Tamandua tetradactyla: one gene and its partner. The protein of the gene in region 1 binds, or shares a complex with, the protein of each later gene. Links are inferred from orthologs where the notes say so. Each region holds a gene or a part of one and is shown on either strand. Other genes may lie near its edges.

What was found.
Region 2: the proteins of ATP8B1 (region 1) and TMEM30B are in contact, whole or in part, in a cryo-EM structure (PDB 7VGH), measured with the Homo sapiens proteins. The link is inferred for Tamandua tetradactyla from reciprocal best matches to the Homo sapiens genes ATP8B1 and TMEM30B. Residues at the interface, in NP_001361314.1 of Homo sapiens: Trp362, Val366, Ser369, Ser370, Trp371, Tyr372, Leu373, Tyr374, Asp375, Gly376, Phe418, Trp421, Asp422, Leu423, Tyr426, Asp431, Pro433, His939, Trp942, Arg946, Tyr968, Phe971, Asn972, Gly973, Ser975, Ala976, Gln977, Leu1003, Gln1005, Phe1049; in NP_001017970.1 of Homo sapiens: Gly9, Ala10, His11, Gln12, Pro13, Asn15, Phe18, Thr19, Gln20, Gln21, Arg22, Leu23, Pro24, Ala25, Trp26, Gln27, Pro28, Leu30, Ser31, Ala32, Ala35, Leu38, Phe39, Phe46, Leu49, Leu53, Tyr109, Tyr111, Asn116, Phe117.

What each region holds. Positions count from the first base shown.
Region 1 is NC_135344.1:24,480,619-24,489,628, forward strand, and holds the start of ATP8B1 (phospholipid-transporting ATPase IC), read left to right. Parts: upstream 1-5,385; 5' UTR 5,386-5,461; intron 5,462-9,010. UniProt on the Homo sapiens protein: Catalytic component of a P4-ATPase flippase complex which catalyzes the hydrolysis of ATP coupled to the transport of phospholipids, in particular phosphatidylcholines (PC), from the outer to the inner leaflet of the plasma membrane.
Region 2 is NC_135338.1:3,545,355-3,554,014, forward strand, and holds TMEM30B (cell cycle control protein 50B), read left to right. Parts: upstream 1-4,972; 5' UTR 4,973-5,208; coding exon 5,209-6,264; 3' UTR 6,265-8,035; downstream 8,036-8,660. UniProt on the Homo sapiens protein: Accessory component of a P4-ATPase flippase complex which catalyzes the hydrolysis of ATP coupled to the transport of aminophospholipids from the outer to the inner leaflet of various membranes and ensures the maintenance of asymmetric distribution of phospholipids.

The DNA of each region.
Region 1 (9,010 bases):
CAATGGATGGAGGTAGCCCAAGGGCCCACCGACTGATGAGGGAAGGGTGAGCTGTGATGTATAGATACAATGGAATATTGTGCAGCTGCAGAAAGGAATGAAGTCACAGGCATGCAACAAGGTGAATGAACGTTAAGGACATTATGTTGTGCAAAATAAGCCATAAACAAGAGGACAAATATTTTACAGTCTCATTTAGAGAATGTTTATAAGAAAATTAGGACCTGGATTGTAAGCTCTTACAGGAGTCACATTTATTCTTGAGTTTTAAGAGTTATTTATAAATGCTGAGGTGCTCTTTATGTATAACTTGGTAGTTCCCTGGATTAGCCGGTACCTGTGTGACACCTAAGACTCAGAGTCAAAGTTCTACAGCTCTGAAAATCAGCATTACTCCATACAACAACTGTTAAAGAAGATGAAAAAGAGATCAGACTTTATATGAATGAAGCTTATCTGGTTAGGTCTACGGTAAATCAGAATACAGGGTAAAGGATGATATTGTCTGTATTTTAAAACTTCAACTTCTGTGTGAGACCAAAGGAAGAGATGTTTATTTTGTTCAAAATTTAGATTTTCTGTAGCATACTATCTAACTTAACCTGTCTTGCCAGTTTATTTAAACAACCTAAATACAAGAAGCCTAGAACAGAGAATAAGAGCTGATGATTCTGTATAGCTTAATGTAATACCATGTTATATTCCAAAATATTGGGGGCAGATGATAAAAAAAAAAGTATTTGCAAATTCCCTTGAGGGGTTGGAGAAAAAATATGAAACTATTAAACTTTCCCACCTGGGAAATTCCTGATATTCTCTGAAGCACTGTGGACTCCCAATTTAATAAGCCAAGCCCTCAATCTTGTGGCTGGTCCTTATAAAACTTATTTCTGTAATGGTGAGGCTAAGCCTACTTATAAACACACCTAAGAGTCACACCCAGAGAATCTCTTTTGTTGCTCAGATGTGGCCTCTCTCTCTCTAAAACCAACTTTGCAAGTAAATTCATTACCTTTCCCCGCTATGCATGACATGACGTTCAGGGTTGTAAGTCTCCCTGGCAATGTGGGACATGGCTCCCAGGGATGAGCCTGGCCCTGGCATTGTGGTATTGAGAATCCCTGCTGGACCAAAAGGGGAAAAAGAAATGTACCAAAATAAGGTCTCAGTGGCTAAGGGATTTCAAATAGAGTCAAGAGGTCATTCGAGGTTACTCTTATACAAGCTTCACCCAGATATTACAAATTGCCATGGTTTGTCAAGCCCCAGCCAACAGTGTTCCTCTAAACCCTAAAGAATACCCAGGGCTCTATCTCAGACACTATAAAAGTTTTACTTATTAAGTTTTATATTTCAGAAACTTAAAACCTGCAGATTGTTCCTATGCCAGATAATCCCTAAAACTTAGAGTTCCCAAAAGCTCCAAGAACATCAACCAGTTGCATTCTCTTATCCCATAATGTCAATACCCCTTTTTAACATGAAGAAGTGAGAATGGTCATTGTCCAAATATCCCTGAACACTGAGAGAATGATCAAATGAGAGGGAGGAGTTGTAACAGAGAAGTCAAGATTTAACAAATGATTATGACTACTGAATCATTATATAGATATTTATTTTTAGTTTCTAGTATATTAGACCAGCCAGAAGGAAGTAACTGAACCTGTAGAACCCATACTGTACTTTGAAATTTGCTCTATAACTACTTTCTAAACTATACTAAACTATGCTGAAATTAACACATTTTCGTACATATGTTATATTTCACAATAAAAAAAAATGTTTTAAAACAAGAAAATAGGTCAGGCCATTTGAAGCCCCTAAATTTCATTTATTGCAAAGACAGCTTCACATAAGAGCTCTTTTCTCATCATGTTTAAGATTCTGATGCTAGCCATTGGTCTAGACAATTGCTGTGAAGAATTTGCCTTCCAAATATTGCCAAACATGGTCACAAAAGGACCAAGCATCGCCTACACGCCTTCCAAGGACATTAAACCCTTTAGTTAAATAATCATTGGGCTTAGCAAAGAACTGAATACAGGCTCCCTTTAAGCATCTTTTATCCCTTAGCTCTTTTATCTTTTAGGGAAAAAAAAATTCTCAGAAATGAATTTTCAGTAAAACTGAGCTAATTCTCTTGGCAACCTCTCCGGCTCTTCTACACACATTATATAAATATGCATAGTAGTATTGCCAAGAACAGAAAAAAAAAAAAAAAAAAAAAAACAGTGCAGGAAATTACGAACTACAAAAGCTGCAAAATAGTTACCCTCTTTTAGAAACAGCTGTTTTCGCTTAAATTTAATTACTTTTTCCCAGCAGCTTTGAAGGTAAAGGTATTGGTTACTGGATGCAGGTGGTTCTAAATAAAACCAGAACGCTTATTCAATCCCATCTGGGAACACAGGGAAAGACTCGCCCAAGCTGGTGGTAGCAGGTCTGCTTTGAGACAAAGAAACCGTCTTTCAAGTGACTCATGTGAGACATATTTCGAAATCCTTGTTGCGTGCATGAGACACTTTCAGTGACCGACCTGACAAGGCACCCCGAAATTTGACACAGTCCTTTCAGGGAAGACAAGGGTCAAGACTCGCTGACACCTTCCAGGTGAGCCACGTCCTCTATCAGCAACACTCGATGACTTGCGAGAGTCTGCTTCCCAGGAGGGTGCAGAAAGCTTAGGGGAGGAGACCCACTGGAAAAGGTCTGAACATGTCCCAGTCTGGTGGGTTCCAGGCAAGATGAATAGCCAAAGGATTTTTCTCATCTAGGATGAAACTCCCTCTCCTTTTTCTAATGCAGCTTTTCATGAAGCCTACCCTGACCACACTATTTAAAATTGCAACTTATCCTCCTACTTCCCATCTCATAACCATGTTCTATTTTTATTATTTATTTTTTAATGTACAGATATTAAATGTACAAAGTCAATGAACTCTTACATATGCATATAGAATTTTTACAGCACCCCAGAAGGCTTCTTCAGTGGCCCTCACCCAGTCAGACCTAATCTAGTCTTTCCAAAGAATTATCACATTTTAACGTACAGTTTGCCTAACTGGTTCACTGATTTATCCCAAGCAACTAGGATGGTGCCTGGCACCTGGTAGGCACAGGATAAGTAATTGTTGAGTGAATGACTATAAAAAATACACACTGCACCCCTATTCTCCACCCCCACCCCCCACCCCCAGATGTGGTCTATAATCAGAGAAACCTAGGCTGGAATCCTTAGTGTCTACACAGGGAGGTTAAGTGCAGCCATAGGGATGGTGCTTCCCAAATCTGGATGTAGGTATGGATTAGGTAAGTCCTGGTGTCGTCTCTATCCATGCAACATTTTCTTGGACAGATTGAACACTTGATCATGGATCTGCAGGAAGGAGGGGATGCCTTCTTTCATCCAGAGTCATCTCTTGACTCCTAGGTTTTGCTGCCCTTTGCCCTGGTAGAGGCAGAGCCCTCTTAGAACAGCCTCCCTTCTTCTCACTTGGCTGTCGAGACTAATGCAATCGCCCAGTTTGGAGAACTTGGTTCCTCCTCTATACTCAGCTCTGCCAGTTGGTTGCCAGGTTCTGGCCACTTTGCACCCTGGCCATTTCTCCTCCATGCTGTTCCTTGAATCTCCTCCTTTTCCTTTCCTTTGGGCCCACCTTATGTTACTGCACTAGCCTCCTAAATGGTGCTTCCCCTCCACCCCATCTTCAAGCTTATCCTTTTCCATTATTTTTCCTAAAAATACAACTTTTGTTATGTCACTCCTGTAGTCACAGACTTTCAGTGGTTCTCCCATGCTACCAAAAACAAGTCCAAACTCCTTAGCCTTGCATGCCACGGCTTCCAGACCCATTTTCCTCACTGCTAGCAGATGGGTCTTCCCCATTGTCATTGTATTTTCTTGCCTCTATACCTTATCTCTGTTGTTGGGTTCAAAAAATAAGTGCTAGAAGGAACGATTTAAGATCAGCTGTTCAAACTCATTTTCCAAATGAGGAAACTGAGGCACAGACAGATGAAATGGCAGGTCAGCATTACACAAAGATCAAGTCTGACCAATGAGAAAGAAATGTGGGGCAGTCTTGGGTTTAACAATGTCAACTGGATCCTTTCATATGTGTGAAAACAGTGGACCACCTGCGCCTCTACTCTAATGCCTTCTCCAGACAACTCTACCTTACAAATGTGGACCTGAGTCCCACCTCAAGCACCACCTCCTCTATGCAGACTTCATGATCCTCCAGCTGAGAATCCGAATTCTCAGCGCACTGAATTTGTATATCAATCCTAGCTCCCAGGCTACATTTTGAAGAAACGGTTTGATCTCTCTTTGACTTCTCTCCATCCATATCCCTTGACTTGTCCACAATAGGAGCAACAAAAGTCCACTGCATGAAAAGTTATAGGTGTAAGGCATGGCAATGTACATACTGCCAGGGAGGCGCGGTTCACACTCCCTAATTCCAGCCAGCTACTATGCACCGAGTACAAAATTTCCAGCACACTGAGCGGTTCACATGCTGCACCTTAGTTCCTTTTGAACCCAAACCCATAAACGTGAGCAGAATGCCAGCTTGCTGCAATTACAGGATAAGTTTTCTCGACATCTTTTGGTACTGTCTCTGCCCCGGTCCTCCACGCCGCGAACCGCCACGCGCGCTCGGTGACCGGTCCGACACGTGACTTGGCACTGAGAGAGCACAGCTCCTCTTACAGAGGGAGCTGAGGTCCCCCGCGGGCGCGGGCCGTCAGCTTTCCGGGCCGGCGGGGTCACCGACCCCTCGAGGCAGCCAGTCCGGCCGAGGGCGGCGGGAAAGTGACGCGGGGCGGGTGGAGCAGAGAGGCGAGCGCGGCCCCGGGGGGAGGCGGGGAGGGCCAGGGAGCCGAGAGCCGCCGAAGCTGTCGGGCGCCGGGCCTGCAAATCAGGTGACACCCTCGGGGAACGCCGAGGGTGCCCACCTGCTGCCCGGGAGCGCCGAAAGCGCGGGGTTGGAGCTGGGCGCGCCTGCCCGCCCCGGGACTCCCGGCCCTGCCCCTCTCCGCCCCCAGGAGGGACCGAGGGAGGGCAGACGGCCGGGCCCGCCCTCAGCCCCAGCCCCAGCCCCAGCCCCAGCCGCGCGCAGCGGCCGCGGCCGCGGGAGGAAAACGGGAGGCACCACTTCGGAGCGGTGAAACCAGTTTGGCCGGTCCTGGGAAGCCCAGAGAAAAGGGCGGCCGCTGAGGAAGGGCGCGCGGACCCGGGGCGGAGGAAGGCGGGGAGCCACTGGCGGCAGAGCCGGAGGAGCTGCCTTAGCCGCGGTCAACCGGACACGCTTCCCGGGGCCCCGGGCCAGCCCCCGTGCGCCATGAAGCGCTAGCGCGGCGGCCGGGGCTGGGGCGGGCAGCGGCGGCCAGGTGCGCAGCGAGCGCTCGGACGGCGCGCACCCGGCGGATGCCCCAGCCGGGGCCCAGCGAGCGCCAGGTAAGAGAGGGGCGCGACACCCGAGCCCCCGGCCCCGCGGGCTTCCACAGGTCTCCCGGCCGCCCGCGGGCCGGCGAGCTCCGGGGATCCAGGATGCGGTGGCAGCAGCTGTCCGCGTCCTCAGGCTCGGGTGGATTTGCGTCGGGGCTCTGGGAGCCCCCACGGCCTGCCAGGGGTGAGGGAGGCAGAACTGGCCGGGGAGGCAGCGCTTGGTCAGGTTCTTGGGGGTTTTCATCTGCCGGGAGGAGAGGGGCCCGGGTGTGGGCGAGCGCGCGGGAGGCGTTTGCCTTCGCTGGTGGGCTGCGCACACGTCTAGGGCTAAGCTCCGAGGGTCCGGCCAGGCAGGGCGTGCGGCCCCTTGGGGAGTGCCCCGCGGTGGCCGATGCCCCTCTGGGAGTACCCCGTGGCCGGGCTCTGCCGGGAGCTCCCTTTGGGGATCGATGCCCTCGTGTCAGAAAGCGACCTGCGGATCGAATGCACCTGACGGTGGCCGCGCTGCGGGGAGGGGTGGGGTGAGACGCTTGCACCGCGCCAGCTGCGGGGCCAGGGCATCCGCCAGTCATTTCCCGTGCCCTTGTATGCGGATCCGGGGGGGGGGGGGGTGACGGGGAAAATGGACAGTGTTTTTCCGGTGATCGTAGGGTTGTGTGCCCAGCTTCCCACGGCCCTGGCACGGGCCATTTCGGTTCCCTCCCCAGTTTGATGCTCCGCGCTGTCACCTCGCTGTTTGCTTGCCGAGTGGCCTCTTGTTCCGGGTGGGGGTGGGGGGGGTGTTTGATGGAAAGGCGAGTGCTTTAACTCCCCACCTCTCTACCACCACCACCCCGCAAAGTGAAAGAGAAGCCTTTGTAGTGTAATCTCAACTTCTCCGCGGGGCTGTATAGGCGTGCCCGCCGGGGTTGGCCGGGAGCACAGACGGGTGACAGCTGTAGAGGGGCGAATTAGAGATGCAGAAGGGAAGCACAACAGGGGATGGGGGGAGAGCGGGCATGGGCAAGGACCGGGGATCTGGGCCTCCTTTTCGCCCAGTAAGTTCCCTCAACACCACCCGGACCCCATGGCTTGCCCGTGCCGCCTCTGGTTGGCCCCAAATGGGCTCTGGACGCTGAGTTCCCCTCCCGGAAGCTGCCCGCCCTGCTGGCTGGAGAAAAAGATTTGCTCCCATCTTCCTGGTTGTGTTGCAGCCAAAGTTCTGCCCCCCAACCCTTTAGGATTAAAGGAGACAGTACAGGCAGGTAGGTTATTGACAAGGATTAAGTGCTTTTAGGAACAGAAATTCAAAAAGATGTGTGCGACTTCAGCGATAAGTAGGTACAAACACATATAAAATGGGGAAACCACACAAGATGTAAAGTTGTAATTTTCACTTCTAAGGAGTTGTTTGGTATAACACCTAAAATGTCATTCATTAATTCTGGACCTATTGTTGAAGTCTTTATTAAAACTTTTATAGGTGCATATACTGTGCAAAAGAATAATGGTTATTAGCTGATTAATTTCAGAGGGAAAAATCATGCCTGCTTGCAGTTCGTCCTCCGAATTCTCTGAATGATTTTCGTTACATAGTGTAGAGTTCCTTGTTCTGATTTTAGGTAAGAAATCTTAACCACTTTCTTCATTTGCCATTTTCTAGTGCTTGTGCTTTGTTTTTAAATCGTTCGAGTAAACACTCAGCCTGGTCATTTTTAGCGATTCTTTGTGTACATAGTCGGGTGCCAAGAGTTCTGCCTGCAGCTGCCTGCTGGTGACGTGGTGCCGGCCAGGGCAGCGCCAGCCACTTTCCAGCTTTCCTTGTGGATTTTGTTTTAAGAAAAATAAAGTATACCTGTGTGCACTTTTTATTAATACATGTTAGTGGTAGAACTATAAGGTTGGTTGTTTGTTTTTAATGTTGACTCTGAAATAGCGACTAGATAAAGCAAATGGCTTAACAAAGGTAGGCCTTATGGTGTAAGGCAAGTTCAAGACCCTTTCCAGGACCAGGGAGGGATTTTGGTGTCTGGGACCTTAGCATTAGAACCTAGACCAGCTCCACCTGTAGCTTATTCCTTATTCTCTCTTTCAAAGCCGAAAGTAGTAGTAATACTTTATGGTGACAGAAACCTGTGGAAAGCCATGGTAGAATCAGGAACCTTTGGACCTTGGGGCTAAAACTCTGCCAACTGAGTTATTTTAGGTGCCTGGCAGCTTGAGGAGCCCATTGATTTTAGTTCTTTACCTTAGTAATTGTATCTTAGATGAGTTGTTATATTTTTTACACCTCAGTTTGTCCATCTGTTGAAAAAAAAAAGATGACTTGGGTTGTTGAGAGAATTAAATAAGAGAATATATGAAAGTTCTTTGTACATAGTAGGTGTTTTTTCCTTGTTAAACTTTTTTTTTTTTAAGAAATGAGGATGCCCAAGTATTTGGTGTAAAGTTTTAATATTTTGTTGCCTTACCAATTTAATTCCATTTTAGTTGTTCATAAGCTACATTCATGGAATACAATTCATTCTAGAGAGATTTTTATCTAGCTATCTTTGGTCTTTAGTTTCAATCATGTTTCTTATAAAAGAGAAATGCTGTTATGAATGCAGAGGAACTTGCTTTTTTAGGTACCAGAACAAGTTTTATGGGGTCCATCCATACCTCATATCTCTAAAGAGAGGTGACCAAAGTTTTTAAAGCATTCTATTTTAGGATTTGCTTCTAGATTAATCTTGGGCAGCTTTTCTTTGTGGTATCTTTAGGTATTCTGTGACTTTTTGGGTCCATTTGTGGGCATCGTTCAATTCGATTAATTGTGTTCATGCCTCTAGGACTTTTGTTACTTTTTAAGATAAGGAAAAAACTCATTTGCTGTCAAATGAGTTTTAAAAAAAGAAGAAAAGACCTTCTCTTTCTTCATTCTCTTAAATGAATCCCCATCCCTGTGCCCAGCTAAAAGCAATACCCATTCTGGAACCTTTTGAAGAGCTGGGATTTGGGAGGAAGATCTGGAAGTCTAATTAAATAGACAAAAAAACCCAGCCTTGTTTCTCATGCTTATTCCTGGAAAACAAAGGACTTTTTATCATCTGACCATTTAGGATGTGTTAGTGCTTTTACTGATACCTTTAGCATTGCATCGTCTAATAAATTGTTGCCCAAACCATCCACAACTCTGCTTGACAACTGGTACCAGTGAGCACTGAGCCCAGAGGCTGCGGCCAAGTCGAGGTTGGGAGCACTCACTTTGGAGTCTTCTGACCCAGGTTGGAGCCTGGGCTTCTCTGCCTCCTCGTTGTGTAACCTAGGGCAAGTGACTTGCTCTCTCCTAAGCTTCAGTCTCTTTGTCTGTAAAATGGAATAATAGTAGTACCGCCTCATAAAGTTGTGTGATGAGGGCCAAAGGAGATAATTTATGTAAAGTGCTTTGCACAGAGCTCAATGAAAGGTGGTCATTAATATTAGTGTGTTGTTGTTGATATCCTCATTAAATATTTATTGCTCCCCAGCAGTTGCCTTTCTCCCAGGTTCTGCAGGAAACAGGCACGACTCTGCATGTTAACGTTTGTTTGTTTTACG
Region 2 (8,660 bases), on another chromosome or scaffold:
CCTCAAACCAGCACATGATGCGACACAGACGTCCCAGGAACCAGCAGCCTGCCTGCAGAGTCCAAGTACCTTCCTGTGGATGTCTTAATCGGGACATTTTCATGGCCTAAGAACTGTACATTGTAAATTAATAAATTCCCATTGAAAAAGCCAATCTATTTCTGGTAGATTGCATTCTAGCAGCTTTAGCAAATGGAAAAAGGAAAGGAAAGGCATGGGCTCTGGGAAAGAGACTGGGCCTCAGCCATGCATGGGAGGGGAAAAGGAGAGACAGCATTTACTTTATTCATTTTCGAACTCTGATAATTATCTGCAATTTTTTGAAACATGTGATTACTCACTCCTGATACATACGTAAGGAATTCCTGAACTTCTAAACGGATTTTGTCACCGTGTGAAAGTCAGCACATGTGTCACAGCCCTCAGTGAGGCCCTTCCCAAACCAGGGAGCTTCATTCCAACCTGGGCAGAGAGCAGAGGAGGATGGTGCCCAGTCTCAGACAGACTGGCTGGTCACACAGACACTGCTTTGCTTTGCTCTATTCACCTTGGGTACGTGGCCCTCTCTCCTTTCACCCTGGGTAGTCTAGTCCGTTTTGATTCAACCCTCTTTCTTATTTGCAGTTACAGAGATCTTCCTTCCCCGCTATCTCAATTCTGTCACCCAGTTGGCCCACCCCTCTCCATATTTCGGGTCTCTCTCCTTCCAGCTCACTAAGCACAAGCCCTACAACTGTGAGCACTCAGCTGGAGTTCAGTCCCATTCTTGCCGGGTTTTCCCTAAACCTGGGAGACCCCTAACCCAACTTCTATACCATTTAAGACCCATTGTCACCTATGAGAATCCATTTTCCATTTTACACTGCCCCCCCGCAGCCCCACCCACCTAATTCTGCTCATAGTTCACTCTCTCTTTGACCTCCAGTGTTTTTCAGGAAGTTAGTGACAAAGAACCAACAAACTGCAGCCAAGAGCCAAGGGAATTCATGTCTGCCTTTTGTACCTTCCATGCTTACAGTGCTAGTTAACTGAAATTTCTATCTTCCACTAGGGGGTACCACCCCATAATTTTTGAAACAGGAAATCTGCTGAATACAGCTCTTAATGAAAAATGAAGCCCAGGCCCAGTGAATTTTTTTTAACTTTTCTGAACACATGCTGTAATTTTATGAAGCAATTTAATTTGATTCTTTTTAAATAAAAGCTGCCCCACGGGCAGAGTAATAGGCACAAATCTTGAGCAGTATAAACTTATATAACGGAACACCAATTAAAAATCCAGGCTCTATTACAGTAAGATAAACAGTCATGAATTAAATGAAATAAATGCAAAAACTCAGTACAGCCAGGCAAGTGAAGTTATTTTTGCTTTAGCAAGAGAAATAATCATACTAAACAAAAGTTGGCTTCAAAACAAAAGCTTTTATAAAACACAAATAAAGGCAGTCAGATGTTCTAGGGCCCTGTATTTAAATAGGACAGAATTCTCTTAACCTTGGAGTATAACCGAAGACTTGCAACACTAAAAACTGGCTCAAGTTTAAGGTCTTTTAGGTTTTTAAGAGAAAGGTGCCAAGTCATTATAGCATAGTGGCTGAAAATGCACAATGCTGGAATTCTTTAAATGCCACATCTTCCACTTATTAGCTTTGAGAACTTGGACGGCCTCCACTTCCTCCGCCTAAGCCATGGTTTCTGCATCGGTTTTAATGGGCCTGATTGTACCTGAGCTTCTTGTGTGAATTAGATGAGATAATGCATATAAAGTGTTTACAGAGTGACTGGCCACAGCAGGCAATAAATGCTAGCTATTATTGTTACTGAATGAATTTGTGTAAGAAAGGCCTCCTGAGATGACTAGACATGGAAATTTTTGCATCGAAAGAGACACGAAACATTTTGGACAATGCGCTTACACAGATAAGAAATCATGGACCAGAGAAGTTAAGCAATTTGACCACTGTTATTCCCTGACAAACCTTCGAGTTTAACTTGGGTTTCCTTAATAGCAGGCCAGCATTTCTTTTCCCCATTCTATAGTGCCTCCTTCTTCAACCTCGCCTACACTATTATCTTTTTCCCTCAGAATGAACACTTCTCGGCCATCTATAAAGAAGCCTTTCCTTTAGGATACATGCTCTTCTAGGTAATTATTACTTGCTTTTCTCCTATTCTTTCCACATATTTCTGAAAAGAGTTGTCCTCACTTTGGCTGCCTTCACCACCTTTTCCCCTCACTTACTACAATCTGATTCCGCTATCATCCAAATCTCTCTGACTCATGTCAAATCCAAGGGCCCTTGTGGTTTCTAATGTCACTTGAATCCTCAGCTGTGTTTAACTATGTTTACCATTCCCTACCTTGAAATACCCTCCTCTTCTGACTTTTGGGACTCTTTGGTGTTAGCTTAACTAGCAGAATGAATAAACTGATGCCTTGAGGTCATCCAGGGAGAAGAAAGGTGAAAGGCTCTGATCTCAACAGAAGGGCACATACTGTTAGGGGGTGGTGAGAACGGCTACTGTGGGACTTGAGAGCCACTAGAATTTTAAAGTCAAATTCCTCATAGGAGACCAGTTTTATGGTCAAGCAGACTGATAATCCACCAACGTAGAGGTAGGTAGAATTCAACCATATGATACAGAGAATCGTTTATTCATTTAGATAGAAATTTGTTGACAATGTTGGACCATCCTCTTTTGGGGTACAAGAAGGATATGAAATTCGAGTTGTTGGAATCTCCCTCAGTATTTTTTGACCGCTAAAGCTTCTGACCTACATTCATTCCACTCAGCAAAATGGATTTTCCATTATTAAAATATTAATGACTCTTTTTAGTTTTCGTATCACTCTTGTGAAGCAATACTTCTTCTTCTTCTTTTTTTTTTTTTTATGCATACGAATAACCTCCAGGATAACCTCTCGACTCTGGAATCTCTCAGCGATTGACACTTTGTCTCATTTCCCTCTTTCCCCTTTTGGTCGAGAAGGTTTTCTCAATCCCTTGATGCTAAGTCTCAGCTCATTCTAGGGTTTTTCTCAATCCCTTGATGCTGAGTCTCAGCTCATTCCAAGATCTCTGTCCCACGTTGCCAGGAAGGTCCACACTCCTGGGAGTCATGTCCCATGTAGAGATGGGTAGAGTGGTGAGACTGCTCGTTGTGTTGGCTGGAGAGAGAGGCCACATCTGAGCAACAAAAGAGGCTCTCTTGGGGGTGACTCTTAGGCCTAAATTTTAAGTGGACTTGACCTATCCTTTGTGAGGTTAAGTTTCATATGAACAAACCCCAAGTCTGGGGGCTCAGCCTATAGCTTTGGTTGTCCACACTGCTTGTGAGAATATCAAGAATTCAACTTGGGGAAGTTGAATTTCTCCCCGTTCTCACCATTCCCCGAAGGGGGGCTTTGCAAATACTTTTCCACTCACTGATCAAATCACTCTGGGATTCATCGGGGGATCACTCTGGACAAACCAGCAAAATCTCATGTCCTACCTGAGATTCCAAGAACTTACGGCGTTCAAACTATCTACATAAGTCATATTAGGAAATGCTCTAGTCAAAATATAAATTTTGTAACAAATAAACATTTTTTGCTTTAGTCTCACACATAAGGTGACATTTTAACATACTAATTACCATCTATTTTCAGCACCCTGTAATAATGACATTCCTTTGTTCTTCCTCATGCAAAAACACTTTTAAAATTGTACATTGTGAAGCAATACTTGATACTTGGTTATTTGCTGCCTATTGGCAACTCTGACTATTTCTTACTCCTGAGTAATGTGTCCACTATAAGACTGCCTTGGAGTGGATGATCCTCTTTAGAACAGTTTTTTCTTCTCTTCTACATTGCTTATCATAGGACTAAGCACTTGGAAGATACTGAAAAAAACTCCTGTTTAACTTACAAGCATCTTAACTTTTCAAATCTCTATGGGTTTTGAATGACTTCCGAATGCAATCTATTATTCAAGGTTCAGAAAATATTTTAATCATTTGCATTCAATGAGATGGAGGAGAGGCAGGAACGCCTCAATACCTAGGGAAGATTCAGCACAAAGCTGAAATGACTTGATAGCCCTTGTGTGTTGTGCCAGCCTAGATCGAAAGGCTGAAATCCCAGGCAATCTTCAGAGCTAATCTGGGTTCTCTTGACCATAAGTGGTATAAATCCTTAAGAGTTCATTTCTTAGACCAAACACTCCAAACAGGTTTGTCTCCTGGGACCTTGGATCAGGCCTTTCTCCACGCGTGTAAACAATCTGAAAAGAAAAGGAAATCACATGTAGTCCTGGGCATTTACCTTCTCGTGTGGCTTCTCCACTAGCTAGAGAGAGAGATACTTGAAGGCTTTGGACCTCTTTCGTCTGACTCTCCTTATTTAAAGATCATTTTTAGAGAACGTTCCATCTATTTTAGTTAGCCAAAGGGAGGCATCAGGCCTGACAACAACTTTCCCTTAAAAAAAAAAAAAAAGCTAAAATTTGAATACAGACACTGAATTCGAACCAGCATTACCACCATGTAATTCCCTGGGCATTAAAGATTTTGTGGCTGGACACGTCCATACAATGACGAGAGGGTCTCGAGTCACCACGCCCCCTCCCCGACCCCGACACAAGAAAAGAGTTCTAGTGTGAAACCTTCAAGCCTTCGGGACCCCCGGTGTCCCCTTACAGCCACTTTCTGCGGGAGACTGCCGCTCTATGATTTCGGGAAGGACAGGCACAGGCCCTCCAGCCACTTGGAAGGCGAAGGGTAACGGAGCACCTGGGCAAGGTACGGCCCACTCGGGGACAGCCTGGGGCCGCCGTTGAACCTCGGGGAGCAGGAGCCGGCGTCCACTCGGACCAGAAGGGAGAGGCAATACGATCCTGGGCCGGCCAGGTGAGGAAAGGAACACCCGCCCGCCTCACCTCGGAAGGGGCGGAGCGCGGCGCGGCTCCCAGAGCCGGCGGGGGGTGGAGCCGGCGGGGATCACCTGGGCCAGGGCGGAACTGAGGGGCTCCGGTTACTGCCCGCGGAGCCCGGCCTCAGGACTCACCTGCGCGGGGGGCGGGGGCGGGGCCGGAGCCAGGACTCACCTGAGCCGACCCGAAACCCGAGCCGGGAGCAGCCCCCCCGCCCCCGGGTCCCCGGGCGCCGACCGGGAGGTGCCCCGCGGCGGCGGCCACCCCCGTGACCCTCCGTGGTCCCGCCGCCATGACCTGGAGCGCCACCGCCCGCGGCGCCCACCAGCCGGACAACACGGCGTTCACGCAGCAGCGGCTCCCCGCCTGGCAGCCGCTGCTGTCGGCCGGCATCGCGCTGCCCCTCTTCTTCTGCGCCGGCCTGGCCTGCATCGGGCTGGGGCTGGGCCTCTACTACACCTCCCACGGCCTCAAGGAGCTCGAGCACGACTACACCGGCGGCCCGGGCTCCGGCAACTGCTCGGCGTGCGCCGAGGCCGCCCAGGGCCGGGCGCCGCCGCCCCGCTGCTCGTGCGCCTGGCACTTCGCGCTGCCCGAGCGCTTCCGGGGCCCCGTGTTCCTCTACTACGCGCTCGCCCACTTCTACCAGAACAACCGGCGCTACGGCGTGTCCCGCGACGACGCGCAGCTGAGCGGGCTGCCGAGCGCGCTGCGCCACCCGGCCAACGAGTGCTCCCCGTACCAGCGCTCGGCCGCCGGCCTGCCCGTCGCGCCCTGCGGCGCCATCGCCAACAGCCTCTTCAACGACTCCTTCTCGCTGTGGCACCAGCGGCGGCCCGGCGGCCCTTACGTCGAGGTGCCGCTCGACCGCACGGGCATCGCCTGGTGGTCCGACTACCACGTCAAGTTCCGCAACCCGCCGCCCGTGAACGGCAGCCTGGCGCTGGCCTTCCGGGGCACCGCGCCGCCGCCCAACTGGCCGCGGCCCGTCTACGAGCTCAGCGCCGACCCCAACGACACCGGCTTCGTCAACCAGGACCTGGTGGTGTGGATGCGCACGGCCGCGCTGCCCACCTTCCGCAAGCTGTACGCGCGCGTGCGCCGCGGCGACTACGCGGCCGGCCTGCCCCGCGGCGCCTACCGCCTGGACATCGCCTACAACTTCCCGGTGCGCGCCTTCGGCGGCCGCAAGCTCGTCATCCTCAGCAGCGTCTCGTGGATGGGCGGCAAGAACCCGTTCCTGGGCATCGCCTACCTGGCCGTCGGCTCCCTCTGCGTGCTCACGGGCTTCGTCATGCTGCTGGTGTACATTCGGCACCAGGAGCCCGACGGCCGGGACCAAGACTGACCCCCGGACGCCGGGGGCCGCGCCTGCCCTGCGCCCAAGCCCTCGCGGCCAGCGCCTTGGGGCCGCGTCGCCCCCCTCCGTCCCCCGGTCCCAGCCGCGCCCCGCTTGTCCTCTGGTGGGTGAGGCAGGGAGAGGCACCCCACCGAGCCGGAGGGCCCCAGACCCTCTGGCTGGGTGGTTTGCACCCCAGAGTGGCACCTCCTTTGAAATCCCCCCCAGCTCCTTCATGGCCCAAGAGTTGATAAGAGTTCTTTGTCTGCCACATTTGAGGGCAGAAGGGACAGGAGAGGTTCAGCCCACCCTTCATCAGATGTAGAAAGGGAGAAGTTAAAAGGTTAAATAACCCATTCGACGGCAAGTGGTGTTGGCTTCAGGGCGGGCCACGGTGGCTCAGCGGGCAGAGCTCTCGTCTGCCATGCTGGAGTCCGGGGCTCGAATCCTGCTGCCCGCCCATACCAAAACAGAAGAGAAAAATGGTATTGGCCGCAGACCCTGAGCCTAGAACGGTTGCCACACAGTTGAGATGTAGTTTGTAAGGTCCTATCCCAGTGACTGCCACACACAGCTTAAGGGTGGTCCCCTGAAGCTGCATTTTCACACATTCCTCTGGAGGTGCCTGTTTCCTCGAGCTTGGAACTCGCCGCCCTGAACCAGGGAGGAAGTAGAGGACTTAGACTTACCGAACAGCCTGAAGCTGTTAAAGGAGTCATCTGAGTTTTCCAGGCAGTAGTTCCCAAGGGCTGCAGCAACCACAATTTGGCAGGTTTGGTTTAGTACACTCTCTTGCACAGAGGGAGCCTCAATGATTTGTGGAGTGAATGAAAAAATATTGCTATCACTCGTAAATGACTTGGCATACAGATTTGCAGGACAATGCTGATGTTAATTTCACTTATTATTTGAGTGTTAAAAAAAGAAAAAGAATAAAACACTTTACCAGGTTGTGTGTAGAGACTTGAAAATTCATGATCAGTTTGTACAAGTTAGGGGGAATATTTAGCCCTAGAATATGACTTCCCTACAGTCGTATCTGTGACTCCTGGCTGGGTCCTCTTTATCATCTCATTTGTTAAATACTTGGCGAGAAGAGCCTCCAATCATACCTTTTCCTTGGATCTGAGAAAAAGCTTCCTTTTAATGTGTTCTCAAAGGAATCATGTTTCCAGTAATCATGTTTGAATGAATGCTAAAGAATATGGTTTTATGTATAAACTGGAGTCTTAAGAATTATTTGGGACTTTGAGATCATTTTAAGTCTGATTACTGTATATGGATAAAGTTATTCTTAAGAGCAACTGAGTACTTTTTTAAAGCCTTCCTTGGATAACAAAATAACTCCAAAAGAACTAAAAGCAAAAGACCCTAATGATATCATCTTAACCAATCTCTTTCTTGAAAGCAGACAGCACTTAGTATTTTCTCAGACAGAATACTCTCTGTTAAAGCTATTTTTCAATTCCTGATGGTTTCGCTCAGACCTTGAAGGCAGTGCAAGATCTTGAACTATTTTTAGTGTCAAGGAAATATTGAATTGTATTGAAAAGTTTTCATTGATTTTATTTTACTTATTATAGTTCTTTGAAATTTAATAATTAATCTATGCACAGCATGTTTACTGACATCTGACTCGAATCTTCTGCGACAGTTGTAACTTAAGAAATTCTGTCCCCTTTTATATACAAATTCTTCCAAATTTTATAGTTACAATGGGTTGGTCTCCCAACTTTTAAACATGACACAGTTGTACTGGTAGGTGTGGATTATGATTTTAAACTATCGCCATTATATGTACATAGAGTAATTTTTATTTATTATGGATATTTGATTGAGCAGCCTAGCTCAGCCTTCCTCTATACTGGATAAGAGAATTTACTACATTTTTTTTTGTACTGTGTACTTTAACGATGATTTCTAGAATATTCACTTCATTGCTATAAACTTTTAAATAAGATCATGAAATCTAAGGCATCTGATTCAATTATTGAAAATGGTTCCAGCTCCCTTTCTCTTGGGTGTTGAAAGAGAATAAAGGTTCTGTTTGTCTTAGTCTTGCTGTTGTGTTTGCTTAATTCTTTTGAACTATGATCTTAAAGGCACATGCAGTATCAACCACTTTGCTCATTTGTTCTTAGCAGATTAATATTGCATCAGGAAAATCATCTTTCAGGAGAAGGCTTCCTTAAAGTGAACTCAATTTGTCATTATTATCTTTGTGGAACAGAATTTGAACTTCTGTCAGCAACATGTTATATGAATTAGATGGTTCTCAATGTTTGAATTTGGTAAAATGTAGTTGATTTTTAAAATTGTCGCATTTAAAATTATTGAAGGTGATTGCAGCAATCCTCTCCATTTCTGCATTTTATTCAAATTTTGAATTACAATAATCCAATTAT